Linked DNA regions of Kluyveromyces lactis. The protein of the gene in region 3 purifies or fractionates together with the protein of the main gene of each other region. This does not show direct contact. Links are inferred from orthologs where the notes say so. Each region holds a gene or a part of one and is shown on either strand. Other genes may lie near its edges.

The links.
Region 1: the proteins of HOG1 (region 3) and PTP2 purify together in Saccharomyces cerevisiae (affinity purification with western blotting; 4 studies listed by BioGRID). This does not show direct contact. The link is inferred for Kluyveromyces lactis from reciprocal best matches to the Saccharomyces cerevisiae genes HOG1 and PTP2.
Region 2: the proteins of HOG1 (region 3) and PTP3 purify together in Saccharomyces cerevisiae (affinity purification with western blotting; 3 studies listed by BioGRID, with this or other methods). This does not show direct contact. The link is inferred for Kluyveromyces lactis from reciprocal best matches to the Saccharomyces cerevisiae genes HOG1 and PTP3.

Annotation. Positions count from the first base shown.
Region 1 is NC_006040.1:561,423-572,496, forward strand, and holds PTP2 (tyrosine protein phosphatase PTP2), read left to right. Parts: upstream 1-4,319; coding exon 4,320-7,031; downstream 7,032-11,074. Other genes in the region: RNY1 (ribonuclease T2), read left to right, coding at 641-1,918; SPC29 (Spc29p), read right to left, coding at 2,029-2,850; karyopherin KAP120, read right to left, coding at 7,117-10,188; NPT1 (nicotinate phosphoribosyltransferase), read right to left, coding at 10,797-11,074. UniProt on the Saccharomyces cerevisiae protein: Major phosphatase responsible with PTP3 for tyrosine dephosphorylation of MAP kinase HOG1 to inactivate its activity. May also be involved in the regulation of MAP kinase FUS3. May be implicated in the ubiquitin-mediated protein degradation.
Region 2 is NC_006039.1:669,953-679,800, forward strand, and holds PTP3 (tyrosine protein phosphatase PTP3), read left to right. Parts: upstream 1-6,762; coding exon 6,763-9,714; downstream 9,715-9,848. Other genes in the region: ICP55 (aminopeptidase), read left to right, coding at 1-297; PCI8 (Pci8p), read right to left, coding at 373-1,542; MRX1 (Mrx1p), read left to right, coding at 1,671-3,824; MAM33 (Mam33p), read right to left, coding at 4,194-4,973. UniProt on the Saccharomyces cerevisiae protein: Major phosphatase responsible for tyrosine dephosphorylation of MAP kinases FUS3 and HOG1 to inactivate their activity; it also has important roles, along with MSG5, in the inactivation of FUS3 following pheromone stimulation.
Region 3 is NC_006042.1:1,862,645-1,872,839, reverse strand, and holds HOG1 (mitogen-activated protein kinase HOG1), read right to left. Parts: upstream 5,632-10,195; coding exon 4,297-5,631; downstream 1-4,296. Other genes in the region: ATP-binding cassette glutathione S-conjugate transporter YCF1, read left to right, coding at 1-4,054; CCW12 (Ccw12p), read left to right, coding at 8,582-8,956; thioredoxin peroxidase AHP1, read right to left, coding at 10,015-10,195. UniProt on the Saccharomyces cerevisiae protein: Proline-directed serine/threonine-protein kinase involved in a signal transduction pathway that is activated by changes in the osmolarity of the extracellular environment.

The DNA.
Region 1 (11,074 bases), on a different chromosome or scaffold from region 3:
TCTGGTGGTGTATATTAATGCAACTGGTGCTCTAGCATGACTGTGTTGATGGTCATTATCCAGATATAATACATCAATATATATTAATTCAGACTACTTAAGGATGTTTCACCTTGTAAGCCTCCCTTTATAATCTCGGTACTTAACCGCCTGCTGTATCGGTAGCTATCCGACGATTGTATCTAACGTGCCTCCAAACGTTTACTCGTGAACAAATAGAGCACTTCCCCAAAAACCATTGAAAGTCAGCTCGTATGGCGCAGTGGTAGCGCAGCAGATTGCAAATCTGTTGGTCCTTAGTTCGATCCTGAGTGCGAGCTATTTTCTTTTTTATTTTTCAAATCCAATTCTCTCTTTTTTTATATTTTGAAGACCAGTGCTGATTAGCTACTGCACATGTTTACTGTTACTAGTAGTAACATATTCAAATATCAAAAAGACGCCATAAATGGTATTGAAACATGACTAGTTCCACAACAATCCTGATAAGAGCGGTTTCAATTCTTGTATATAAGAAAACTACGACAGTGGAATCACTTGACTTGCATTTGGTATAACTTTGGCAGATTCCGAAAGATAGGGTAATTGTTAACGCTACTTCATCAGGTAATATCAATAAGGATTATCAACTAAATTAAGGATGCTATTGAATAAAGGGCTACTAGCAAGTTTGTTAGCTTACACTACAACTGCTTTTGATTTGCAGCATATATTTTACAAAGAACAGTATTCGTGTCCGATTAGTCTACCGGCAAGTTGCTCAAACAACACTGAGATTAAGGATTCCTGCTGCTTTGAATTCCCTGGTGGCATCATGTTACAAACACAATTTTGGGATTACATACCGCCTAAAGGGGTTTCTGACCCGGATGAATTAGTTAGGCATCTAGGGCCGTTGGATTCTTTCACAAACCACGGTTTATGGCCGGATAACTGTGATGGAACCTATGCACAGTTTTGCAATAGAGAAAGTAACATTGATGATGTTTGGCATTTACTAAACGATGATCAGTTCAACGGGAGAGATGATCTTCCGATCAACGGAACTGATTTGTTAGAAACTATGGATATGTATTGGAAAAGTAACACAGGTGATGATGAAAGTTTGTGGGTACACGAATATAATAAGCACGGAACTTGTATTCGAACATTATATCCGGATTGTTATAAAAAATGGGGAGTGGCTGGGAACAGTAAGAAACAAGCAGTTTATGATTACTTCAGAATCGCCATGAAATTATTCCATGATAAAGACACTTATCAGACATTAAAGTCTGCGGGAATTGAACCGAGTGTGGAAAAGAGCTACACCAAACTTGAAATATCGAATGCATTAAAAGAAGGTCACTCTGGTGAAGTAGTACACTTCTTATGTGACAGACATGGTTCCTTGAACCAAATTTGGTACTTCCACTCATTGAAGGGATCCTTATTAGGAGAAAAATTTGTACCTATTTCTGCGCTACCCAAAGGTTCTAATTGTCCGGATGATAATATTAAATGGTATCCAAAGGGGCATGTTCCATCCTCTTATAGACCTCCAAATGGCAACCATCCTGGTACCAGGGGTGTTGTAAGAATTGGTAACGGTAAAGGGTTTCTAATCAAAAATGGACATTGGTATTTAAAGGGAACCCCAGCTAATTTCTTCTTGATAGAGGCACCATTTGGAAACTATTATTTGAAGACAAGAATGGGATATTGTGGTATCGATAATTCTAATAAAGTGTTGGCATGTAACAAAAACGTTGCCCAAGCCGCTCAATTCGAATATGACGCAAAGAAAGGTTACATTGGATACAACGGAGCTTATGATTGGTATGCAACCAAATATCCAAGGGGTAACCAACAAGCTCCTGTGTACGCAGGTTCAAACGATGATGGATACAATTTCCAATTGAAATTCGTAAAAGCCTAGGGTTAAGTTCAATTCTATATAAGACATACGGAAACAAAATGATATAAAATATAACAAAATACAACGGCACGAAGCAGCCGAAGCTAATCTAATATATACATAAGAACCTCTTAGTTTCTGGTTTTCCCAGTGACACCTATTAATCTGCTTGTGTTGTCGTCAAAGTTGGATAAATTTCTGGGCTGATTGTGTGGGAAGTGAAAGTTGCTGGAATTATCAACTCTAGTAGATGACGGCTGTTTCCATCCTAGAAGCACTCTAGTATCATCAGAATCATGCAAAGCGTTCGCTACCCACTCTGAAGTACTTGAAGTGGAAGGAGCACTTTGGGGTCTATCAAGGTATACACCGTTCCCGTTACTGTTTGGTCCCGCATAATGTCTAGTCCACTTTCCGTTGGCAGACAATTGAGAATTATCCGTATCCGCTTTAACATTGCTATGACTAAGTGCCGCTAGCATTCTTACGCTATCTTGCAACTCAGCCACTTTATTTTGCAAGGCTCTGTTGGAAGCATTTGATTGGTACAGTTCATTTTTGAGAGCTTGTATTTGTAGTTCATGATGGTATAACTTTTTCTCTAGTTCATCAATCTTATTAACGCTAGAGTATATACTATCTAGCCTATTTGTATCAGAGGCTAACGAAGGTAAACTAATCTTTGGCTCCGGTTTCCTGGATAGACCTTCCCTTAATTGGCGTCGAAGAAACTCATCGTCGGTGGGTTTACTACTGTTGACATTTCTATTAATGTAATCGTTGCTGTTTCGTTCTTGCAGCAGTGTTGGTTTCTTTGAAAACTCCATTTTTTTGGTCGGACTCTGGTTCGTCATAAGTTCTTGCAATGTTCTTTTCGAGTTCAGATACTCCTTCCTAATGTTCTGCAAAGTATCATCGTTTTCCACATTATTCAAAAACTGTGAAACATCCATTATTACGGGAGTAACGGACGGTAGCAGATGAGACGTGAGGTTAGGGAACTTTTTTTCGTTTCTGGTATATCCTCTGCTTGTACACTTAAATTACAATACTTCTCTTAGACATGATCCACACATCGCGCTCTTAAGTCGCAATGTATCGATATTCTCCAATGTTTACACAAACAAATTCGTGAAACCGTCAACAAAGAAAGAGAGGGGAAAAAGAAGTCGTATCACGTGCATCAAAAAGAAAAAAAAAAAAAAAACAAAATAAAACAAAATGCAGATCATCCGGGTAACACATGCACATCGTCTTCCGGCTCTTTCCGGCTCCGCGATCAGTTAACTTCTTCCGTCTTATGGATACCTAAATTTGGTAATATCGTCCCGTCATCACAGCACAACCCATACACCACTTACCAGACAAATCTGAACCTAGCATAGCCCCGAATGTCAGGCTCATTATTTCATTTTTCTGAACAAGCTGGCAGTGACGTATTTGAATTATACAACTGAGCTCAAGACATTCGTTCAGCAAAAAGCTTAGACTAGTGGGAACCCGTTGTTGGAACCTGTTGACATGAGAGAGCAAAACAGTGGTTATTATTGGCTAGGGTAACTCCATCTTCTCTTCTCGCCTAGAACACTATGATAACAAACTTGTCTATTTTAAGAGCGAATGCGTTGTCAGAACAATGAATAGAATGAGACTTCTTTGATTTTTTTCAGAAAGCTTTTCCATGCATTGGAATTGACACGTATATTCCTATGCCGATGGATCCCAATTCAATGCCTCTCGAACAAACGGTACATAACCCAACTGGCATTGCAACAGCACGATGAGTTAATTATATACCTACTACATTCAGAAGTAACAACTCCTACGCAAAAATCTTGCACCTCGCTTGATCGCCCAGTCACACAGCAGATGCAGCGTTTCTGCAAAAACAGGAATTTAAACGGGCACAGCATCGGATCCCAGGATTCATGATTAAACGGTTACTTGCTTACATACACTTCCAAATTTAACTTGCTCTTGCTAGCGAAATTCCATTGATTTCATTAAAGTTCTCAGTATTAATTGCCTTTCAGAACATCCTTCGAATTATGGAACATGGAACAAAAAAAAAAAGATCCAGTCCTCCTAGTCATTTATATAGAAAACAGAATATATACAGCAGACAGAAATCAGTTTCTGAAATTTTAAGGTATATTGTTTACACAGCACACGGAGCAAAGCAACAACTACACAAGATATATTTTGGGTAGACCCGCAATAGGACACCCAGGACAGTTGTGTAGTGGGTATACAGAATCAGGTTATTGATAAAGAGAATCAAGAACGCCTATTTTTTGAGAGTCTAGATTATCTAGAAGGATAAGAGAAGAAATTAAGAGTTCAAGTATTCGGAGAACAGAGACCATCGTTAGTCTAAATTTGATTTAGTCCTAATTTTGATCTTTTTCGTACTACATTCATCATGAGAATGCAAATGAGTATGAATATGTCGCCGAGCGGGAGCACTGCAACCAGCTCACCAAAGATTGCATCACCTGCCATGTCTAATGTGAACGGCAGTAATGGTGGGCAGCACGGTACCAGCGGTGGTTTTAACACTAATGGCATAACAGGACTGTGTTTGGAAACGGTTAACAGTCACTGTCTTAATATTAATGGGGTCAAAGGTTTGCGGTGGCAGCGACCCAATTCGATATACGCGGACTTGATGGAACAACCTCAAGTGAGGGACTCGTGTTTGAACACAGTGGCAATTACAGACTTGAAACCGGACGATTCTACGTTTTTGCTTGATTTAACTAGTCATGGATACCCTTTGAAAGATTTTCATACCCTTCATGTTTCGTTCCCCAGTACGTTGCTTAGAAGGCCTAGAACCACCTTCCATCAGTTGATTTCCACATTGCATATAGAAACTCAGGCGCTCTTGAAAGATAGGCTTCTTAGTTCTGATCATATTGTCATTTACGATGAGCATTCAACGCTTCATCGTTGTAATCAGCAGACTTGCTCTGTGATTATGAAATTGATACCATTCCTCAATGAGCAAAACCCCTCGTATACGATCAGCTTAATCGAAGGTGGACCATCGTCCTTCAATAAGCAACGGTTCCCTCCAAATGTGGCGGTACCGTTACCATCGTTCAAAATCAGTCATCCGGAGGATGGGAAGGACAATAATGGCAACAGTAAACATCCTAATTTGAAATTGCATATACCACAAGTTGACGAAAGCCAAATTTCTCCAAATTTGATTTCTTCAGCTTCATCAACTAGGATGTTCATACAATCTTTGAAAAGAGATAGTATTCATTATTCTCCGAACTCGATTAAAAAATACTTCGTCTTTCATACCCCTGAAGTACTGCCCTCTCATGTACCGAGATGGTTGTCACCGTACAACACGAAGAACGACTCCGTAGTGGAACGTATATTTGAAGACTTCGAGACTTTGGAAGCATTAGAAGTTAGAAGATTAGAGAAGTGTTTGATGGCCACAAATCCTTCTTCTAATGTCAACTCCGCTCAAAACAGTAATAATAATAGCAGCGACAACACCAACAACAGTAACAATAACAATGATAATAATAATAATAATAATAATGATACATCTAGCATAAGGTTGCCAGAAAAGCAATCACCACATACTGAACTTGGAAAAGAGTACTCGTTGCGGAGTCTTCAAAAAGAATATAAACCTAACGGAAATTTGGATGAATCAGATGACGATACTCTAGTCATGAAACATTCGAACGGTTCTGTGGATGAGAAGTTACGGAGGGATATTAAGGAAGAACTCAACGATTCGAACAAGCACAATTTAATAGGAAAATTGAATACCGTTTCACCAGGACTGCTTCCCGTTTTGAAGAACGATGCGGACTCTGGTATCACTGTTGTGTCGAGGAGCTCTCAATACCCTGATGCCAGTGACATTAACGCTAGTAATTTTAACGAAAAAATGGCAAATTCAGATGAAGAAGTGGTTGAGACTCCGCTGGGCAATTATCAAATGACTAAAGGGATTCAATCGTTCACCAAGAACAGATACTCCAACATTCTACCTTATGAGCATTCAAGGGTGAGGTTACAACCCTCTCCTCTTGCAGAACAATTGACTTTGACTTCAGATCAGCTATCTTTACTATCGGCGCCAAAATCTGGTAAATATGACAACCTCACCCCCGGCGGGAACAGAAGACGGGAGTTAGAATTACAAACTGTTGACGAAAATGCTGGCTACTTCTCACAGGATAGTTCACCTACTAGATTATATTCACATCCCGCCAATCGGAGTGAAACAACTGCAACTTCTGAAACAGATTATGATACGGAACCTTTCAACGATTACTTCAATGCTAACTATTTAAGATTACCACAAATTAACCCTGATTTCAACTACATTGCAACACAAGCCCCTCTACCATCTACCATCGATGATTTTTGGAACGTTGTTCTTTCTAAAAATCTAAAAGTTATTATATCCCTTAATTCTTATGATGAGTTGGACATGAAGAAATGGGATATCTACTGGAACTCAAAATCCATCCGCAAACATGAAGTCAAGGTAACAAATACCTATGAAGATGTTTTTGATATTCCAGGTTGCATTTTACGTGTCATGAATGTATCGAAATCAGATTCCAGAATTCAATCACCAAATAAAAGAACAAAATTCGACCAACTTCCTGTCAAGAATGAGTCTCGCCCCCATACCGTGTACCAACTTCAATACACAAAATGGTTAGACTCCTGTGGAATCAACATGAGAGACTTCATTCATATTTATCATATCAAAAATCTTCTCTTGAATGATCCAGCTTCGCTTTTCAATGCTCTTAACAATAAAACCGAAGATTTTTTGCACACTTATCGCAAATTAGGGTTATTGTCCGTGAACAAAAACAATTCTGGATCTCCAGTTTTGGTTCATTGTTCTGCGGGTTGTGGAAGAACAGGTGTCTTCATTACCTTAGACTTCTTGCTAGGTGTATTGGACTCACGTTCTAATCAATCAAACAAAATCGATGTATGGAACATGTCAGCGGACTTGATTTTCATTGTTGTTAATGAGCTTCGCAAACAGCGGATCTCCATGGTGCAAAATTTAACTCAATATTTAACGTGCTACGAGAGCATGTTGGAATTTTTCTATTTGAAGGAGCACATATAATTATATCTACGTAAATATACAACGTTATGCTAGCAGCATTTCATTCAAAATGCCTACTTAATGCGATTTAATTATAATTAATGCTTTATTGATGAGGTTTAATCGACATGAACAGCTGCAGGTTTTCCATAAGCACAGGATCCGCAGACAAAATGAGTTTCTGGAACGAAGTATCATCCATTTGACTTTTCAAATAAGACAACGTATCTGAAATAAATCCTTTAATACTAACATTATGAGCTGGATCATTTTTTTTGATTAATTCGTGAAGTCTAGCTTGTTCACAATTTGTATCAGAAGAAGAATCTGGGTCTGATAAGTGGTACTTTTCACAGTCGCCTGAAAAACTTTCGTTGATTTCTTCTAACGATTCAACCCATATCGAGAGAATCACTTTAAACTCAAGCAAATAAGGGGTCGCACCAGTTTTCAAAAGTGAGGAGATGCCAAGTAAGTGAATTTTTTTCAGTTTTGGATCATAAACAGAACCGTAACACTTGCACCATATTTCGAAAAACGTTTTGAGCACGTCATCTAAAGAAGTCTCATTTGTCACTAACTTACGCTGACTTGCAGGGAGTCTAGAATTTTCCAGAGGTCCGTCAATACTTTTTAAATAATCAGACAATAAATTTATGATATTCTGTGGGCCATTGAATGATATACGTGCCAATATCTGGAACAATTGACTCGCTTGATATGCAGATAATTGCTCTTGTAAGAAAATTGCATTGAAAATACTCTTGAAAACGGAATTGTTTGAAAAGTAGAATAGTAATGACATCTCATTTTCTCCTTCATCTGAAAGTGCCAAAACATCCCATATTTCCAAAAGTATGGTATACGAGTCGTCACGTAAAAGTAACAAGTAGCTTGCAGCATGTTTTAAGATTTCAGTAAAAGCAGGATAGGAATAAAATTCCTGCGCGGGCAACAAAATGGCGTAACTTTTTAAGATCTCCAAAGAAATAGGCAACAATTCTGTCTGGTTCTCCACGCAATGAAGTAGGAATGGGCTAGCGTTCAAAAATCTCCCATCAAGTGATTTCTCCGTAGGATCGTAATTCTGTAGAAGTGAGTGCCATAGTTCTAAACCATCCTCTAGAAGTAGTGAAGTATGTGGTGAGTTTGGGTTGCAGGCAGCCTCGATTATGGTTAATGAAATGTCCCAGGTTGCGTAAGAATATTTCCCTAAAGAAATCGATAAATACCTCAGCAAGCGAAGTAGAACATTTGCGAGTATTGATTCAGTTGGTTCATTACAAGCAAGCTGCCAAAACTCAGGGACAATCTCAAGTATCTGCATTAGGAACTGTTTATTCACAAGCGGTTTTGTTTGGATAATCAAATCTGTAAGTGTGTTTAATACGTATAATCTAGTCTCTGTTAAGGAAACATCAGGTAAAAGCTGCTGTAAAAAGATTACAACGAAGCTTTCCAAATATGGCTCGAATATGGATTTATTGAAATCCCAGTCATCAATCATTGTTCTAAACGCTTGTACAATTGATAATTGTACGACTTTGTCCGATTCTGTTTTGAACATATGTAAGAAAAATTGGTAACACTGTTGCTTAGAATGATCCGAAGATTTAGTGACCCAGGCATCAATAATCAAAGCAACTCTCCTTCTGATAATTCTCAGTTGATCGGGCGAAGAATTGGATTTTGATGCTTCTGGCAAGAAAACCGTTTCCAAAAGCCTGTTGAAATCCACCATATCAGTGATTGCATGCGAGCTGAGTTGAAAAGCACAAAACAAGGCATCCTTCTTCAAAAAATCATCGATCGAGTCAGATAATTGAGCGGCCTCTGAGTCAATCTTATTTAAAAGATAAGGTGTTAAAAGATTCTGAAAGGAGTCGATTAGGTCTTGGAAAAAATTTTCAGCACAAGGCCTGATTTGATATTCGTAACTAGAACTCATTTGTTCATTTACCCATTCCTCAGGATCCAGAGACCATGCTTCCAAGTCTGCTGGCCGTAATCTCAAATACCAATCAATCAATAAGTCTATTAATTTCTTTACAAGATCTTCGGAGAGGAATTCGGTGGTTAATTTATGAATAGCAGCATCCACTTCAGATTTATCACTTCTAACTTTGATGGTTACAGCACCCTTTTTGGTGATAAAATTAATAACTTTCTTCAATATTGAAAACCCTCTGATTGCAATCGTTTCCCAGAATCCTGTTTGGGACTCTGTGTTTTCATTATAAACATCAGATGCTCTTTCGATTATCAAAGTAGTGAATGTTATGAGAATAGTCTTTGATGATGGCATCATTACAAAGTTTGCCGTAGATGCAGAAATAAGATTGAAATACAATTTGCAGTAACATTTGATAAACTTTTCATACATATCAACTGTCTTAAAATTGTCATAATTCTTCAATAATAATTGGAAATGCTGTTCAGACAGGGAAATGAATTCGACCACAGACTTGTCTTTTTGTGGGGATTCATATCCATCAACTGCAACTCTTCTTAAGACCTTTAGGGCCAGATACGATATTTGCAACTTAGATATATCATCACTCTCTAGAGAGGCAGAATTTGTCCACTTGTTGAAGTAATGCATATAGATCCTGGTTAAAAGTGGAAAAAGTAATGGTATTTTTGATTGCATAGCAGGTCGACATCTCCCAATTCTGGCAACACCTAGTGTCTTTATTATTTGGTTTAAGTGAATCAAAATGTTGTAGACTTTAACATCATCCTTCCATACAGATTCGTCATTTAGAAGTAACTCTACCTGTTCAAATAGATGCGGCCATTCGACAGGGAAATCGATTCGCGCTACTCTAGCAGTAGCCTGTGCATTTTGTATGGCTAATTTATCATTTGGTTCATCTATCATACCGAATAATCTATTACGGATTTGCTGTTTCTCATCCTTAGTAATAGCATTTATTCTTGTTGATCTCCAATACTTGTCTAATCCGTTTTTGAACTGAATAATGGCCAACCATCTTACTTGCAAGGATACTGACAGATCCATATAAATCGATTGTAACAAGTAATGGAAACCTGGCAATATCTCCCAAGATTTAATCTGTTGTTCTGCCTGCCTTTGCACTTCAGACCCAGCATACTGTGGATTCGATGCTTGTTCTAAAACTTGAACAAGGGCAAGTTCTGTTAACTGTGTGGACATATTTGAAATCGTTGTTGAGGGTGCTTATTATCTTAGTGCATATACCTTTTCTAGTGGAAGATACTTGCCGAAATATTTCAAGTGACTTACCTTGTTCCCACCAATAGTGTTACTGAACCCTGAAGTAGGTTTAGAAATTTCAATTTTCAATTGAATAACAAAGGAAAACTCAAGCCAATAATCGAGGTTTTAGTTATGTTCTTGATATGCACGAAACTACGTTCGCTGGCACAAATAGACGCGTCCTACTGGGTATCAATTATACCTGATATGTTACAATGGTTTGATTTTGTTAGTTCATTAGTGCTTTCCCTGTCTAAAATGTTGAAAACCAAAGTGCCAGAGAATTTGGGCAAATAATGACTAAAATCATCACTAACGATATGAAACGAATGAACCAACAACGACACAAATGAAAGGAAGCAGTTACGAAGTACAAGAAGTTTCGACAGGTGTATCAAAGTAATAAAAAAGATTAAATTGTATTACAAATGGATCGTATAGATACCTACAAAAAGCGTTTGTGTTCAATTGAAACACGGTATAGTTAACAAAACCTGGCGTCATATTACAATGAAAAGAATTTCATAAAATCCGGTTTGGTTCAATTAAGCAGCCCATCTATGAGCTTCATTATCACCTGCATACTTTCTCTCAACATAGCCCAATTCTTCCTTCACTCTACGAACTGTCTCTGGGTCACCCATATTTTTACCTAAATTATCGGAAATCTTGATGGCATGGTTCCCATTAACCTCCAGTAGTTTTATGACAATATTCAGCGGTTCACTTTTCACTGAGACATCAGATTTTCTTTGGAAATCGTTGGTGAAATTCGTACCGATACCGAAAGTTGCCTTTAGACCATGTTTATGAGCCACTTGGG
Region 2 (9,848 bases), on a different chromosome or scaffold from region 3:
GGTCATAATTTGGGTTTAGATGTGCACGACGTACCAGAAATATCCAGGCATCAACCTTTGCAAGAGGGTCAAGTGATCACTATCGAACCTGGTCTCTACATCCCTAATGATCCAAAATACCCCGAATATTTCAGGAATATTGGAATTCGTATCGAAGATGATATTGCCATTGGCCTGAATTCATACACTAACTTGACGGTTGAAGCAGCTAAAGAAGTAATTGACATCGAAAACATTGTTCAGCATGGTGTTTCTACCAAAATAGATCACGACATACCTCGTCCTCTTGATTTCTAACGGTTCGAAAATATTTAAAAGTTATGTAATTTCACTAGCATTTATCATGTAAATAGAACAAAACTACGTACTCTCTTAATCATTGAAAGTATCAGCAGTCTCATTACAGAGCTCGTTTTCGCTCAGAGCGAAAACTTCTTCTTCATTCATAGGTTCTTCGTCACTCGCCTTGCTTCGCCGCTGTATTCTGCTTTTCCTTAAAGCTAAATGTTCATCGACGATTACTCTCAAATTATGGTTTTGACGACGTAATTGGGAGAGCTTATTATCCAATGTGATATCTTCAGTCATCATCAAATCGTTTAGAGCCATCTGAGGGTCAAATTTCTGGTATAAAATGAGATCATCATGAATCTGGAAATTCAAACAGGCTTCCGAGATTAGTTGTGTGATTTCTTGAGTGACAATTTCTCGAGATATTCCGACTCTTTCGGATAGGTAACTAATTTGTATTTTAGTTGCTATCCTCAAATAAAATGCGTACATCTTTTGTCTCATAGTCTTAGATATTATATCCCACTTTTTTTCTAAGAAATAATCTTGCTTGCAAAGCCGCTCCATATCATTGTGCCACCAGTCGAAAAACTTCATGAACTTACTATTAATTATAAGTTTGCCCTTGCCAGCAAGAACATCAAAGTGTTTATGAAACTGTTCTAGTTCTTCTAAATGAATGAATGTGTCCAAATTATCTAGGGGAATTGACACTAATGCAGATACAGTGATGATGTAAAACATTGTTTCATTCGATATAAAGATATCATCTTTTGGAAGAGTTACCATTAGCTCCACCAAGTTTGGTATGTCGATGATTAGTTGAATGAACCTTTGTAAACACTGATGATATTCCCCCCTTAGGAACCAATTTAAAATCAATAATAACTTGCACTCGATGAAATCCGCTAATTCCGTTGGCTCAGAAGTAATGGGTTGGGTATTGAGCCTAGATTCAAAATCAATCACTGCTTTATAATGAGAATTTAGAATATGAGTTCTAATCAGGAGTTTGGTCCGTTTGAAAACACCCACTGAGCTCATAGAAACATCACTATTGATAAATATTATGGATTCAGCGTATTTATTATCAAGTAGCATAGATACTAGTTTTTGTTCCCAGGCAGGAAATCGCTTTGAAACAACACTCCAGGTTTTGAGCTCTCTACTTTCATTGTAATTTGGATATTTGGATCTGAAATGACGATCTTGAAGCACTGCCAACGGATAAAATAGCCTACCTTGTGTCATATATAATGCAATATTCTATCAAAAACAGCCCCAAAACATGTAAAAAATGCAATCGCAAACAATGCTAACTCTTTTTCAGAGGCTTTGATGTTATTCTAGTACTACTCACCTTGTTGGTCTTTTTAATTATGTCTCGTGTGATGCAGCTTACACTGTTTCTTGTTCTCGTTCAGATATGGCTGTTTTGCATATTATGTCAATTTTTCCAATATGATTCTGTAGTAGGAAAAATATTAATCACGGTCGAATCTTTGAGTACAACCTCATCGCAGACACCTCAAGAGCAGTTTAGACAGGATAGTCAGTCAGCAAGCATCAGAATCTGTATGTCGATAGGTCGAACAGTTATACATGTGCCATGTGCGCAGCGCTTTGTTAGGGCATTTCATGCTACGCGGGTACCTTACGGCTCACCGTTGAAGGTTAAGTTGGACCTTCTGCAGAAGACACAGACACTTGTGAAGCGAACAGAGAAGGAAAATGGAAAGCAGAGGGATATCGCTCGAAGGGAAGCACGCAAAGCTCGGAAGTACGGATATTCCATTAAGAAAGCGAATGAAATCTTAAAAGGGAGACACAAAATTACTAATCTTGATAAGTCTATCAAAGTAGGACCAACTTCGGACGATGATACGAGCATTCTTTCTGTCGCTAACGATAAAAGATTAATGTATACTATACTAGGTATATCTAGACCTCAACTAAAAAATTCAATATTGGTGGAACGCGATGTTGCGAAATTTTGTAAGAGAGGCCAGTTGCAAAAGGCTTTATTTCTTATAAAGCTTGCTGGACCAAATGGTGCAGCTGGAATGAACACATTAATGACACATTATCTAGAAGTTGAAAAAGATAGCCATTCCGCTGTGGATTTATATTCTTGGAGAAAGAAGTGGCAAATACCTCCCAATGAATACACTGAAACAAATTTGTTCAAAGGGTTGGCAAGGTTGCCAGAACCAATTTCTGTCAAAGTTGCAGAACGAGTGGTGAAGATAGTTTTAAAATTGGTTGAAGATGAAAGACTCAATAATATAAATTTTAACGCTGCATTAAGTGCGTTGGCGAACTCTAACGACCCTAGTTACCTGTTCAAATGTTTTGATTTGAGACCCAAAGGTATAAAAAAAGATGCAATTGCGTACACGCAACTACTTATTGGATGTGCGAAGATTACAGATGCAGTGGAAGCCATTCAAAGGGCTGATGATATAATGAACTCTGCTGACCCCAAAGTTATCGATTCACAAATGTTTTTTCATTATTTGAACGTTTGGCACTCTAGAAGGGATCTACGATTTTCCAATTGTGTGTTGCCTCTGCTTGATATATTCTATGATTTTAAGGTCCCAAATGTTCGTTTCAAGAAAGAAATACCAGAATTTGTCAAGTTGCCTGCTTTGAAGAATTGGAATATCAAATCTAAAATGCGTTTGACTCCCCATGTTGCACATCTTTTAATGGAAAATTGCTTTAAGACCGGACAATACGAATATGGTATCGCTTTCTTCGAGCATTACCTGGGAAAAAGACCAAACCTTTTCAACAACAGAACAATAAACGCTGCGTTGAACTTAATTATCAAAGCAGATCCGGAGAACTGTGGAGAGAGATGTTATGAGCTACTTCGTAAGATGATGGATGATGGTATGTTGCGGGAACCCTTACAGCACGTCGTTTTAACTTATAAAGCATTTGAAAGACAGGCTACTAAAAAGCTAAACAACAGTGATCCTGTAAAGGCGACAGAACTTGTAAAATCATGTCTTGCACTTATGAAGGACAATGAAGCAAAGACTTCGATTCAAAATGATGAGTACAAGAGCTATTTATCCTGGAAACCATGGATGTTCTTATTGAGAATTGTTATGTCATGCAAAGACGCGTTACCTTTGACTTTCAAGAAAACGATAATAGACGAGTTCATTACCACAATGCTCTGTGATCCAGTAATGTTGTTGAAGCAGAGAGGAAGCACTCGAGAGAGTATGCGTTTTGTTTATCTTGAAGCTGTACGTTTTATAAAATCATTGGAATCATCTTTGAATTTAACCGATGAAGAACTAAAGGAAGTGCAAGCTGAAGCGGAAGATTCAAATTCTTTACTTAAAAGAAAATTTTTGTTTCGTAGGCATCTAATAAGATTAAGAAAGAGAATCCTAGAGGTTGTGGATAACCTAGAACATGATAGGGATTCTAACAGCCCCGAAATCGAAAAATTGTTTAGACAATATTGTGAAACAATATTGGACACCAACATTGATGACTTTTCACCAACATAATTGAGATGCCTCCTGTACATACTAAACCAATGAAAAAGGCATCTCACTTGGAGGCTTGTCTTTTGCTGGCTCTGCATTTCAATAATTAAACTATTGCAAACGGTGTAATAATCAAAGGTACCAATGGAAAAGACGATAGGTACATTATAACAGATATTACATAGAGCGATATATAATGTACAAATTTGCCTTAAAAATCCATAATAAAAAAGGTAAGAGAAAAATTATGTATATACAAGAGAAATGTTGATAGAGGGATCATAAAGCTCAGTGATCAGTAGTGAAGTAAAACCACCAAGAGGCAGAATTGTTTTTGAATGAACAAATACTTCTGTCTTTAGTCATATTGAAAAAGAGTTATTGTTGCAATTACTCGAAGAACTTCTTCATTTTCGACAACCATTGAATGTATTCATTATTCTCCTTGAACTCAGAGTAATTAGAAATGAATGAAGTTAAATCGGTGGTGATACCTCTGGATTCCAAGTAAGATTCCAAGGACTCTTGCAAAGATTCATCCAAGTTAGAGAATGGAGGACCGTGGTATCCCAATTCTCTCTTGATTTCGGCTTCTGCTGATTCATTCAAAGCATCTTCTGCTGATTCGTATGGGGTAACGGAATCGACGTAGAAAGAACCTTCTTGCATGTTCATCAAAAGCTCAAATGAAATTGCTGTGTTGTCGGAGTTCTTCACAACGACAATGTTGACATTGGCAAAGTTATCAGACATACTATCGAAATCTTCCTCCAATTGTTCTTCAGATTGTTCTAAAGCAGCTGGTTCGACAGGCAAGTTAGCAACTTGAGCAACGTCAAAGAAGACATTGATAGTTTCATCGTTCAATTGTCTTCTAATGTGAGCCAAGTTACGGCCTTCTTGAACGACAGGCTCAAAACCGTACTTGGACAGGAAAGTAGCCAATTCTTCTGGCAAGTCGACAATTTGTTGAGAAGTTTCTAATTCGACTTCGCTGTTTAAAACTTGAGCAACCTTCGTAGTATGTTGGTTGAAAGTGGTAGCAGTATAGGAGAGTTGACGGGAAGATGTGATAAAGGTTGGACGAGCAATCACATTTCTGGCCACCTGGATGGAAGCTGGACGAGCAGCAACACGGGAGGCAACACGGGTAATCAAACGTAGGGACATAGTATTCTATCAGGGGAGGGGGCTTATCCTATAGGACTGGTTTGTTTTAACCCTTAAATTTGGATCAAATAAGCTAGCTCATCGCTTGAAATATCACAGTTCAATATAAGAGCTTATAATCTTTCCAGAATTCTTTTTCCTTTCAGCTCTCGATCCTAGAGTGTGGCAAAAAGAAAGTATATCAGGGTAATGAGGTGGATGCCCTTTTCATATTTACCCGCACGTTCAGCGTCACGTGAATGAGTAAAGTGTAAACAAGCCAATAAAAGAGGTAAAGACGCCATCCGGGTACAAATTGCTCGAACAGTTCTAAGGGCGGACCCTGGTACAGATACAGTGCGTTGACTTCTAGGCGTACGTAATTTTCGCTTTTCGTTTTGTGAGTAGTGGTAGCCTTTAGTTTCCGAGTTATTTCACTACGTTAATTTCTTCGTTTCAGCTTGCAGAAAGATGTTCGAGACCCGAGTCCATTTCTATTGAAAATTCTTTTCTTTTGTGAGGGAAGCGAACTTTCGAACCGTTTTGGTCACTGCTTTCCGTGCTAACATTCTGGATCAAAAGTACGAAATTTTTCGAGCCTTAGTCCCATGGTAACTCTCGCATTACTATTTGACAAATGAACGTTTACTGATCAGAGTGTGTTTAGGGCAGAGAGGTAATGTCCGTTTCGACCGTAGTCTCGAACCGGAACAATGATCAACGCCTTGGTTTTCCCGAGAAAATTCGTGTTCGTTTTTGCAAGAGCACGGAGGACAACATTCATTGTCAGTTCTAAGAAAGAAAAAAAAGCCAGTTGCAAATAATTGTAACGACGTAATTTACTGCGCAAAAGAGCCCCATCTATGATTATGCTCATGATTGAAATTTATTCCCAGGATTTTGCTGTGGTGTGTTATGCAGCCATCTGCAATTCTTCTATTAAACTACTTTTCACAAGTTGAAGAGTACAAGTCCAAGAACATACTCTCAGACTAGTACCCAGGGGATCTAGATCTTTTGACTATTAGCATATTTTTCGGTCCTTATTATACCGTTCTTTCGGCTCTACTGTTGATTTCTAGATTTGTGTCTTTTTTTTTGTTCATACATTTCACAAAGCAACAGAGTGTCGTAATTAACCATAGAAACTGCTTCTTCATCCGTGATATCCTTGTAACATGTCTTGACAATTTGCGGTTCTTATTCAACAAGAGATGAGTATTGCTTGGTAAAATTGCAATCGGCATGAGGGTGTAAATAGTTTAGAAGATTTATCGCATATTTTTCTGAGTCCTTTGTTTTCAGTACCTTTCTGCCTACATAAGGTGTCTTTTCAGGTAATTTCCTACAGATGAAAAGTAATCTAATTAAGTAGCAAGGTGTCTGGTTCAACCAACGAAGTGGGCATTACTATATCACATATGCATTTATGTAATTCGACCGTATATCACGTGGATGTGCGTGCTAATTGTTGTTGTTGTTGTTTTTTTTTCCATTGGATATGTTTCTCGAATGCATGCATCTGTGTATCCTTATGCAATCCTCTTCTCAATATCTTTTTTAGAATTTCTTTTCTTTTCGGTCAAGTGTTTTCTAATTCGTAATTTCTAGGTCTAGTGCATTATTGAACCAAATAGAACAGCTTCCAACATCTTCAGCTATCTTTTAACTTTGTTCGAATCACTGCTTTAACGAAGACACCAAATAAGAACCTATACCAAGACAAAACTGTCAAATTAAGCATACAGAAAGAAAGTACTTTGTTAGTAATAGGGTGTCAAATCTAATCTATTTATAATTTCGAAGAGAAATGGAGTATATAGACACGATGGGCACCAACAAACAACAGGAAGAAATCCAACTCAAAGAACCTCTTTCGTTTTCAAGGCCTCTCGCTAGACCACCATCGATATCTGGATGTACAGAGTATAAAGATCGTGATTCAATTCAGAGCAGCTCATTCACATCGGAAAGTTCATCAGTTCTAAGTTCGTCATCCACTTTGATCGATGATAAATCGTCGAATTCATCGTTAGCATCTCCTGCCCTGAGCGCAAATTACAAAAGAAATTCAACGGAGGTACTGCCCGAAAAGATTCTGATACATGCGTCGACTTTCCCTTCAGCATCTGAACCTTCGTATAGTACATGTACACCTTCACCGTTGTCAGCATCTCATAGAAGTTCCCTTTCGTTTTCACGGAGTAGATCGCGGAGCATAGCAATGAAGTCCAATAGCTTGCCCGCTATTCCAACAATATGTCCAAAAGATCTCCGATTTCCTAAACATAAAGACTGCTCGTTTATTAGCCCTGCGGACTTGCACCATTATATTGAAAATATGGACCAGAATCCCAATGAAAAACTGATAATATTCGATACAAGGCCGTTCATAGAGTTCAACAAAAATCACATCAGATCGGCAATGCACTTGTGTCTTCCCTCGACTTTACTGAAAAGGAAAAACTTCAATCTGGAAAGGTTGATAGGTAATCTACCTTCCCCAGGAAGGGAAACTTTATCGGAATATTTATTGGGCAGTGACAGCGCCACTGCAAATGCCAAGGTGGTTATTTACGATAATGTGGCAAACCAGACAGATTATGCAGTATCATTGGCATGTTTCGGAATATCTTCTAAGATCCTCGATCATGTAAGTGACAAACAAAAGCCTTCTGTTTTCATTCTCGCAGAAGGTTTTGAATCATTTAATGCAGCATATCCTGATGACGTCGAAGTTGGTACCATGGATTTGGAAGACTCTTATACCTTAGATTCCCCATCTTCCCCTCATCAGGCAGACAATATTTCTCCAGTTCAACCGCAGTTGAAACACTCTGGTAGATCTCATTCGCATTCTTGTTCTCCTTTGAAACAGCCACCACAAACCGGTAACAGTAGGACTCTATCTGGTTCCCCAATATCCACATCATCACCATTATCATCTTTGTTTGGATTTAAACTGCCGGCACCGATAAATAATCAACATTTACCAACTTTTAAGTTACCGCAGATTGAGCATGACATTTCCGATCTAGATAATTATGTGAAGGCCGTAGAGATCAATGAACGCTCTCAAAGAAATTCTTTCTTAGAATCAGAAAATGACCTAAGATCCTTCAAATTTCCTGCTTCACCGTCCAAACAGTTCAGTACCGATGCGACTTCGTCATCATTTACTTCAACTCAAACAGCATTATCGCCAGCAGATCCTTCTAGTGGCCACAATTCATCTAAACTAAATTTCCAAGTTAAATATGATAACCTATACCACAGATTTGCTTCAGAGGAGATCAATCAGGTAGTTCCTTCCTGGTTCTGCCAATTAATGGACATTCCAAAACTGCACTTTATATCTAAGTTCCAAAGATTGGAGTTATTAGAAAGAAAAAGACTTCAGAGATTATTGGGCCCCTCATCGTCCGCTTCAATTGTCAGCACTCAATCTCGGTCTACTGTAGCTGGTAACGACAGATGTGTCGAAGATGGTCATTATGATGTTGATGAGGATGATGCTGAAGAGAACTTACAAAGCATCACAATATCATCTGGGGTAGAATTTGGGACGAAGAATAGATATAAGGATATATTTCCTTATGAGCACACAAGAGTAAAGCTCTCGCATTCTAGTATATGCAGTGCTGGCTGTGAGAATTCAACCCCTTCCCCGAGATCTTCCGCATATAGTTCCTGTGCTAGTGGCTTGCCAACTCAAGATGAACAAGAGGATGTTTGGAATACCTATATTAATGCTAACTATTTGGTTAATCCTTTTGCCCAACTTCAGCAAAGCTCTACCGCTGACATCAAGTCTGTACGTTATATTGCCACCCAAGCTCCTTTGAAAGAGACAATTTCGGACTTCTACACCTGCATTCTGAACAACAATGTGCCCATAATTCTAACGCTAACTGATGAGTTTGAAAATGGAGTTGAGAAGTGTTGCAACTTTTGGGCAAACGGTAACTATGATGGTATAAACGTCAAACTTCTGGATGAATTTAGTACTATGTTACAAGATAAACCAATGAAGGCAGAATCTAACCATGAGGAAGATATGTTTGCATCTAAGTTTTGGAGACATCTTAAATTAAACAAAACTTCAGACAATAACAATGAGATCATCATTCGAAGAATTGAACTGAGCTATAATAATGATAGAAGTAAGTTCCAACTATTGCAATTACAGATAAAAGACTGGCCAGACTTAGGGACATTGCTCAAACCAAACGAAATTCTGCAAATAATCAATTTGAAGAATTTTGTCATTGATAGTCTGTTCGCACATAACGTGTACTCTCCTAATTACACACCGACTGTGCTCGTTCATTGTTCTGCTGGATGTGGTCGAACAGGTACTTTGTGCACTGTTGATTCCATATTATCAAACCTAAAGAAGTTTGATACCGATGAGAATCCTTCTTTGTATGGCGCCTTCGCCGTACCGTTAACTCCTAATCTTTCTCCAACTACAAAATCTAATTCTTTTTCTGCTACGAAACCACCAACAAGTCTCATGTTTGATCCAATCGTGACAACCGTAAACCAGTTCAGAAGACAGCGTATTTCTATGGTTCAAAATATCAACCAATTTCTCTTCATTTATGATTGTCTATTATTCTATTTTACATTGAATTTGGAGACTTCACCAACAGACCCTGAAAAGCGTAATAACTGGCAGTCTATGACAGACGAGAACTCACACCTTGACATTTTGCACAAATTTATAGACGGAAAGGTAAATGAGCTACAGCAAGTCTGAATCCATCGTTTTGAAAGCGATATAGAATGCAAACAATCTCGCTGCTCAAAATACAACATCAAGTGCTGTCAAACACCAACAAAGCAACTGATGCTCGCCTAACCATAATGACATACCATTCAATTCACTCGCTT
Region 3 (10,195 bases):
ACATGCTTACGGTGATGAACATGAATTGCCCGTGTCATATTCCGTGTACATTTTAACTGTGTTCCAGACCATCTCTGCTGTGATGATTTTACTATTGGAATCATTATTCGAAAAGCCATTGCCTTCTTATCAGAGAGTCATAGAATCCTATTCTAAGCAAAAACGTAATCCAGTGGACTCAGCCCATATATTCCAAAGATTAAGTTTCAGTTGGATGACAGAATTGATGAAAACAGGTTACAAGAAATATTTGACTGAGAAGGATTTATACAAGTTGCCAAAAAGTTTCGGCTCAAAAGAAATCTCCGAGAAATTCGGCGAGCGCTGGCAGTATCAATTGAAACACAAGGCCAATCCATCTTTATCTTGGGCGATGTTAACTACGTTTGGTGGTAAATTACTCTTAGGTGGTACTTTCAAAGTTGCTTATGATATTTTACAATTCACCCAACCTCAATTGTTAAGAATTTTGATCAAGTTCGTTTCAGATTATACTTCCACACCTGAGCCAGAACTTCCTTTAGTCAAAGGTGTCATGTTATCTTTGGCTATGTTCTTTGTAAGTGTAGTTCAAACGTCCATTTTGCATCAATACTTCTTGAACGCTTTCGATACGGGGATGAATATCAAGAGTGGTTTGACATCTGTAATCTATCAAAAGGCCCTTGTTCTATCAAATGAAGCATCGGCTTCTTCATCTACCGGTGATATTGTTAATTTAATGAGTGTTGATGTTCAAAGATTACAGGATTTAACTCAATGGGGCCAAATTATTTGGTCCGGCCCATTCCAAATTGTGTTGTGTTTGGTTTCTCTATACAAGCTTTTAGGTCCATGCATGTGGGTTGGTGTTATCATTATGATTGTCATGATCCCTATAAATTCTGTTATTGTGAGGATACAAAAAAAATTGCAGAAAATTCAAATGAAGAACAAAGATGAAAGAACTAGAGTCACTTCCGAAATCTTGAACAATATTAAGTCCTTGAAAGTTTACGGGTGGGAAATCCCATACAAGGCCAAATTGGATCATGTCAGGAACGAGAAAGAATTGAAGAACTTGAAGAAAATGGGATGTACATTAGCATTGGCTAATTTCCAGTTCAATATCGTGCCTTTCCTTGTGTCATGTTCTACCTTTGCTGTTTTCGTATACACGGAGGAAAGACCATTATCCACTGATCTAGTCTTCCCTGCATTAACTCTTTTCAATTTATTGTCATTCCCTCTTGCTGTTGTTCCTAATGCAATCTCTTCATTTATTGAAGCATCTGTGTCCATAAATAGACTCTTTGCATTTTTGACTAACGAAGAGTTGCAAAATGATGCCGTTTTACGTGAACCAAAAGTAAAGAATATTGGTGACGAAGGTGTTAAAGTCAACGATGCAACTTTCTTATGGCAACGCAAACCTGAATATAAAGTTGCCTTGAAAAACATAAATTTTGTTGCCAAGAAAGGTGAACTAACATGTATCGTGGGGAAAGTGGGTAGTGGTAAGAGTGCACTTATTCAAAGTCTACTAGGAGATTTGATTAGAGTGAAGGGTTTCGCAACTGTTCACGGTGACGTCGCCAACGTTTCACAGGTTCCATGGATTATGAATGGTACTGTTAAAGATAATATCTTGTTTGGTCACAAGTATGATCCAGAATTTTACCAGCTGACTATAAAAGCGTGTGCTTTGAGTATTGATCTCTCTATGTTGCCAGATGGTGACCAGACTTTAGTTGGTGAAAAAGGTATTTCTTTATCTGGTGGCCAAAAAGCAAGACTATCGTTAGCCCGTGCCGTTTATTCTCGTGCTGATACTTACTTATTGGACGATCCTCTCGCTGCTGTAGATGAGCATGTCGCTAAACATTTGATTGAACACGTTTTGGGTCCACACGGTTTGTTGCATTCCAAAACAAAGGTGTTAGCAACAAATAAAATTACTGTTCTCTCCATTGCGGACTCCATTACTCTCATGGAAAACGGCGAAATCATTCAGCAGGGAAGTTATGATCAAGTTAATGAGTCAACAAACTCTCCACTATCGAAGCTTATTGCCGAGTTTGGGAAGAAGGGTAAACCAACTCCTTCCCAATCTACTACTTCCTTGGCAAAATTAGCGTCGGAAGGAATTGAATCTTATTCAGACTCAAAGATCTCTGAAATTACCGTAGATATAAATCAGTTGGACACCGAAAACTTATCTGAAGCTGAAGACCTAAAATCTCTAAGAAGAGCTTCTTTGGCAACCTTAGGCTCAATTGGTTTTGATGACAATGAAAATAGCGCCAGAAGAGAACACAGGGAACAAGGTAAAGTCAAATGGGATATTTATATGGAGTACGCCCGTGCGTGTAACCCCCGCAACGTGTGTGTGTTTTTGGGTTTCCTAATCCTCTCGATGCTGTTGGCCGTCATTGGTAATTTCTGGCTCAAACACTGGTCAGAAGTCAATACTGAGAAAGGCTATAACCCCCATGCCACAAGATATTTGATGATTTACTTAGCTTTAGGTGTTGGTTCCGCTCTGGCAACATTAATACAGACTATTGTTCTATGGGTATTCTGTACTATCCATGGCTCCAAGTATTTACATGATGCAATGGCTTCAAGTGTTTTAAAGGCACCTATGTCTTTCTTTGAAACAACTCCTATTGGAAGAATTCTAAACAGGTTTTCGAATGATATTTATAAGGTAGATGAAATTTTGGGTAGAACGTTTGCTCAATTCTTTGCAAATGTTGTTAAGGTCTCTTTCACCATCGTTGTTATTTGCATGGCAACTTGGCAATTTATCTTTATTGTGTTACCATTGAGTGTATTGTACATCTATTATCAACAGTACTACTTGAGAACCTCAAGAGAATTGCGTCGGTTGGATTCTGTTACTAGGTCACCCATTTATGCGCACTTCCAAGAGACCTTAGGGGGGTTGACTACCATCCGTGGGTATTCTCAACAGAACCGCTTTGTACATATCAACCAAACCAGAGTTGACAATAATATGAGCGCATTCTATCCTAGTGTCAATGCTAACCGTTGGTTGGCATTTAGACTTGAATTTATCGGATCCGTGATCATATTGGCTGCATCTATGTTGGCTGTTATTAGACTTGGTAATGGAACTCTAACTGCTGGTATGATTGGTCTATCATTGAGTTTTGCTTTGCAAATCACTCAATCGTTGAATTGGATTGTCAGAATGACTGTGGAAGTAGAAACTAATATTGTTAGTGTTGAAAGAATCAAAGAGTATGCAGAATTGAAGAGCGAAGCACCATATATTATTAAAGACCATAGGCCACCAGCATCATGGCCAGAATCAGGTGAAATAAAGTTTGTGAACTACAGTACCCGTTACAGACCAGAACTAGAATTGATTTTGAAGGACATTGATTTACATATTCACCCAAAGGAGAAAATTGGTATTGTTGGTAGAACAGGTGCTGGAAAGTCATCTTTGACACTTGCCCTTTTCAGAATTATCGAGGCAGCTTCTGGTCATATTGTGATCGATGGTATCCCAATTGATTCTATAGGTTTGGCTGATTTGAGACATGGATTGTCGATTATCCCGCAGGATTCTCAAATCTTTGAAGGCACAGTGAGAGAAAACATCGATCCTACTAATCGGTATACCGATGAAGAAATTTGGAATGCATTGGCTTTATCACACTTGAAGGATCACATACTGGGTATGGGATCTAATGGTTTGGAGACCATGCTTACTGAAGGTGGTAGTAATTTAAGTGTAGGCCAAAGGCAATTGATGTGCTTGGCTCGTGCCTTGTTGATTTCAAGTAATATCTTGATTTTGGATGAAGCAACTGCAGCTGTTGATGTTGAAACGGATCAATTGATCCAAAAGACGATTAGAAACGCATTTAAGGAAAGAACAATCTTAACAATTGCTCACAGGATTAACACAATTATGGACAGTGATAGAATTATAGTGTTGGATAAAGGTAGAGTAACAGAGTTCGACACTCCTCAGAATTTGTTACAGAAGAAGGATTCTATTTTCTATTCGTTATGTCTTGAAGCCGGCTTAACGGAGTGAAACCCCCTCAAGTTGTATTATCATAACAGAGATTTTGTTTATTTAAGTACTTTTGTAATAATTTTGTTAAGCAATTGTTTCCTAGTTGAGATGCCCTATCAGAATTATAAATAATATTCGGTTTATCGTAAGAAACGTGTAAATAGTTACATTTCTGCTGTGATTAAAAGATGCTTTATATAATACGAAATAAAAACAAAAAAAGAATATACTTCTGTCAAGCAGATTTCATTACATTGAACTTATTTGAATTTGGAGACGTATTGGTCTGCTTGATTAGCAAAATTCGTCAATGTTTCGTTTGCTGGATCAGGGCCAATAGAGAAAGAAGGGTTAGAATTGGAATTAGAGTTAGCGCCACTTTCAAGTTGTTGTGGGGTCACTTGAGCCTGGGGAGGAGTAGAGGCGATTGTCTGTTGAGTTTGCTCTTCAGTTTGGTGTTGTTGCTGCTGCTGTTGCTTAGAGGCAGCCTCCGCGGCGGCGACAGTGGCAGCGGCTACTTGGTCGTCGAAAGTAGCATTTGTATTGATTTGTGGGTCACCGATTTGATGGAAATCCAAGATCTCGGAATACATCATTACACGCCAGGTGTCAACAGGTAAGTCAGCATCGTTGAAATTCCAATCAAACTTAGCTTCTGCGATAGGTTCGTCGGTTGGGTCATGATATGGGGAAAGGTAAGGATGGGCCAAGGCATCAGCTGCTGTAATTCTCTTCTTTGGATCGAACACAAGCATTTTTTCTAGAAGATCTATAGCATCTGGTTCCAAGTTCTGGAACCTCGAACTGAATGGTACAGGATCTCTATGAGGTAATGAAGTAACAAATTTGAGAGTGTTCTCTGAGCAAATAGTGTCTATGACATCTTTTGGAGGCGATCCTAATAGATCAGTGATGATAGAAAATTGATGCACGTGATCTTTACCTGGGAACAAAGGCTTACCCTCGATCATTTCGGCAAAGATACAACCAGCAGACCAGATGTCTACTTCAACATTATATTTTTGCCAGGTCAACATGATTTCTGGGGCTCTATAGTAACGGGTTGACACGTAACCAGTCATTTGAGGATCTTGAATCCTAGCAAGTCCGAAATCGCAGATCTTTAAATCACAGTTCTCATTGATCAAGATATTGGAAGGTTTCAAATCTCTATGGATCACACCTGCGGAATGAACGTATTTAAGCCCCCTCAAGATCTGGTATAAGAAATATTGAACGAATTGTTTTTCCAAAGGCCTTGTCTGCAACAATCTATGTAGATCCGTCCCTTGCAATTCAGTGACGAAATAAATATCTTCTAATGGTGACAAGAAGATATCTTCGAGACAAATCAAATTCTCATGCCTTAGATGCTTTAACAATTTGAGTTCCCTATACGTTCTTTTTGCCAGTACGGAAGTAGAAAACGGTTTCATAATCTTCTTAATCGCTACAGGCTGGCTTGTTAGCGTATCTGTAGCAGAACAAACCAACCCGAAGGCACCCATACCAACCGGGTTCAAATTAGTATACCGATTGGTAATTTCGAAAACTGTACCAAAAATTTGAGTCCTAATAAATTCCTCATTCGACATTTTATTTCAATTGGAAAAACGTGTCCAGCTTCGATATCCTCGAGTTTTTGGTTCAACGAAGGATACGTATATGAATCTAATTCTTTGGGAGATCGCTCGAACTGGCAGATAACTTAAGCAACGTTATAGCAATTGTTGTCGAAGGGTCTCCTAGTTTTGTTTCTATCAAGTTTTCTTTAATTTTCAATTTTTTAAATTTAACGACTTGAATATGAAATTCAACGGTTCTAATTCACTAAAAAAAAAAGGAAGGGCCTGGCAAAAAACGATGTCCATTCACCGATAATGGAGGGGAAAGTGTCACAGTGGGAATTATATAAAACACTGTTTCGAAGATTTTATCACCGTTTGGTTCTGTGATTAACCCTGAAATACTGCCTGTGTACTTGTTTCCTATTTAAGACGTAACAACAGCTCTGACAGATAGGATCGACGTCGGCTTGATAGATTGGGTTATTATATGTGTATGCATGTATGTATGTAGAGTAAGATTTGCGAACAGGAGGGGCAGTGGCGGATTATGATACATGACATCCGGGTAATACTTCTACTGATATCACGTGATAAACCAAGTAAGAAACCCTTGAGAAGACCACCCAATTATTGCACACCTGTGAATACCGTGACGTTACATATTAATACTGGTGACCATAAACGTTAAAGGTACTTCTTGATCAATAATTATACATTTCCTCATTTAAAGTTTCTTTGTAAGTCGAAATGACAGTTTTTGGACAGACATCAATTTGAATAAAGTATGGTTTGAAACCGCCTACTTACATACAACGTGATCTGATAAGAAAACTTACGAGACAGGGTAATAGATGCATAGAAACGGATTAGTAACTTGATGTTACCCGGGAAATCACACCTCTTGGTTTTCTAGGCATGGAATAGAAAAAATGGACGAACCGTGAGATGATTTGCAGTAGGTAAAACCCACCGGCCGCGCCCTTGACGCTCTGTCGTAGTTTGTAACCTACTATCGGCGTTTCCAGGGTCTATTTACAAATCAAGCCATGACATCCTTCTCTACTGGTGACTGATCTGACTTACACTCAACATGAGTCGAACCCGCGACTCTGGAATACGACGATATACTTGAGATTTGTGATTAGCGCCTTTAAAGCCCTATCATGGAACCCTTGAAACGCGATCGCACAGGGTAAACAAAGCACACCATCTTGCAGAAGCAAGCAGACAAAGGGGAACGAATCTGATTAAAGAGTGAAATGCCCAAAGTCTAGAACCTTTTTACAGGGTACCAAATATAGAAGATTACGCAAAACTATAAAACCAAAACAACGGAAATCAAAACAAAAAGAGTCCGCAGCAACTACGTAATTTTTTCGTGGATTCTATTGCCTTGTAGTATTGCGTAGAAAATTGCTCGTAGAAAATAATCTCCCCCTCAGTTCTACCTGAAAAATTTCGAGTTCATATCGCTCGCTATCTGATATCTTGAATGAGACCATCTTTTATTTTTTCTCATCTGGAGTGGGATTTTTTTAATATCTTGCCTATGTTACTATAGATATGCGTTGCTAGCTATCTTCGATGCGGGCGTGCGTTATTTGCCTATTACTGAACTTTGAGCACTATAAGGGTTATTACGGGCGATCTTGGCCATCCCAAGCTATCCCTTCGAAAGGCCAACTTCTTGGTATATTCTTAAACCAACCAAACCGAGAGTAAAATATTGCCTCCAGCCGACGCCAAATATGGCAAAAATACCAAGCAATAATTGGTGAGTAAGCTGGTATATACTAGAATAGGAAACTGGAAACATAGTCGAGAAAGAGTGTGAAATAAAATTCTCGTTGCTTTGTAAAACGGGAACATAAATTTGCCAAGATTTATTTCCGCTACGTAGAAAACACCGCAATACGGGCATAAGCACACATTCGTGAACCTGAGATTTTCGTAACTGCGGTGTTTCTTGCATTGTCTTTTTCTTTTTTTGCGGTCACCCCCATGTGGCGGGGAGGCAGAGGAGTAGGTAGAGCAACGAATCCTACTATTTATCCAAATTAGTCTAGGAACTCTTTTTCTAGATTTTTTAGATTTGAGGGCAAGCGCTGTTAACGACTCAGAAATGTAAGCACTACGGAGTAGAACGAGAAATCCGCCATAGGTGGAAATCCTAGCAAAATCTTGCTTACCCTAGCTAGCCTCAGGTAAGCTAGCCTTAGCCTGTCAAATTTTTTTCAAAATTTGGTAAGTTTCTACTAGCAAAGCAAACACGGTTCAACAAACCGAAAACTCCACTCATTATACGTGGAAACCGAAACAAAAAAACAAAAACCAAAATACTCGCCAATGAGAAAGTTGCTGCGTTTCTACTTTCGAGGAAGAGGAACTGAGAGGATTGACTACGAAAGGGGCAAAAACGAGTCGTATTCTCCCATTATTGTCTGCTACCACGCGGTCTAGTAGAATAAGCAACCAGTCAACGCTAAGACAGGTAATCAAAATACCAGTCTGCTGGCTACGGGCTAGTTTTTACCTCTTTTAGAACCCACTGTAAAAGTCCGTTGTAAAGCCCGTTCTCACTGTTGGCGTTTTTTTTTTTTTGGTTTAGTTTCTTATTTTTCATTTTTTTCTTTCATGACCAAAAACAAACAAATCTCGCGATTTGTACTGCGGCCACTGGGGCGTGGCCAAAAAAATGACAAATTTAGAAACCTTAGTTTCTGATTTTTCCTGTTATGAGGAGATATGATAAAAAATATTACTGCTTTATTGTTTTTTTTTTATCTACTGAAATAGAGAAACTTACCCAAGGAGGAGGCAAAAAAAAGAGTATATATACAGCAGGTACCATTCAGATTTTAATATATTCTTTTCTCTTCTTCTACACTATTATTATAATAATTTTACTATATTCATTTTTAGCTTAAAACCTCATAGAATATTATTCTTCAGTCACTCGCTTAAATACTTATCAAAAATGCAATTCTCTACTGTCGCCGCTTTCGCCGCCGTTGCCGCCGTTGCCTCCGCTCAAAACATCACCACTGAAACCGCTACCGAATCCCAAACTACTTTGGTTACCATCACTTCTTGTGAAGAAAACAAATGTAGCGAATCCGTTTCTGAAGCTTTGGTCTCTACTGCTACCGTCACCGTCAACGACGTCATCACCGAATACACCACCTGGTGTCCACTACCAACCACTGAAGCTCCAGTTGAAAAGAACACCACTTCTACTGCTGCTCCAGCTCCATCCACTTCTCACACTCAACCAGATTACACTGGTGCAGCTGCTAAGGCTTTGCCAGCTGCTGGTGCTTTGGTCGCCGGTGCTGCCGCTTTGTTGTTGTAAGTTAACTTATTAATGATATCAAATCTATAAAACAAAAAATTCAGGAATAAAATCTTAGGAAAACATCTTTTCTGAGTTCTTCTTTTGTTCAAATGCTTTTACAATAGGTTTTCTTTCATTACATGAGTGATGCAAATGCAAAGACCATATTAGTTTTTAGTTGATTCAAAGGAAAAACACGGAAAGTGCACCTTTGATTTTTTTACCTTTAGTTTTTATTTTTTTTCTCATCTTTAATAATACTTATTCTAATTTACATTTAAACAACAAGCACATATCTACAATGCTAAATGCTAACTCGGTTAAATTATCCCCCTTTTTCCTTCAAATCAATTTTACAATCGGAATATCAGAAAATAATTTGTTTTTGTTTTATTCTTTTTGCCCTAATAATTTTTTAAGGTAAACAATTGAAACGAAAATGAAATAGTTGAAAAATTAGGGCAATTTTAAGCCGATTCAGTTTTCGCATTGTTTTCTATTGGGTTTTGGAAATACAACCTTTTGGTAAGTTTTTTTTTTTGAGTTTCCAAACCACACGTGTAAACATGTTTTTTGTTGGTGGGCTAACACACGAGAGAGATTGAATTCCTTCGATCGTCACGTTACCATTACAACTTTCAACTACAGACTCGAGGGTTTTCCCAACGAAACTCGTTATTTTTTTTTCCTTTTCCTTTTTATTTTTATTTCTACTTTTTCCGTTTTTGAATGGATCTAGTTTCACGATCAGGAGGGATTAAAGAGATATTATAAACTGTTGAGACTTTGAATGATTTCTATTTCAACAAAGCGTTTTGCTTTCTATGCTACAGATTAGACAATTGGTTTTGTTGAAATTTCTGTTGTTCAAATGTATTTCTCATCATTGCACATTTATGTTTCCATATGTATGTACATTTATATATTGATCTATCCTTCTAAATTGTTGACTGAAATAAAAAAATGCCGTTTCCGTTTTGAACCTCCCTACTCAAAGTGAAGCTAAGGGTTAAAGGTAGAAGGAAGTAATGTACGTTAATATTGACTACTTAATAGTATTATAGTTATTTTTCTCTCTATTTAATCTTGTTCAATTGTTCCAAGGCATTATCAACGGAAGAAACTGTAACATCAGTAGCTGGGTTTTCTTCAACGGCTTGGTAAACAATCTTCCCATCCTTGGCAATTACCAAGTATCTGCTGGCCCAGAAAACGCCGGACTCAATTGGCAAGGCAAAGCCCAAAGATTGGGAAAAC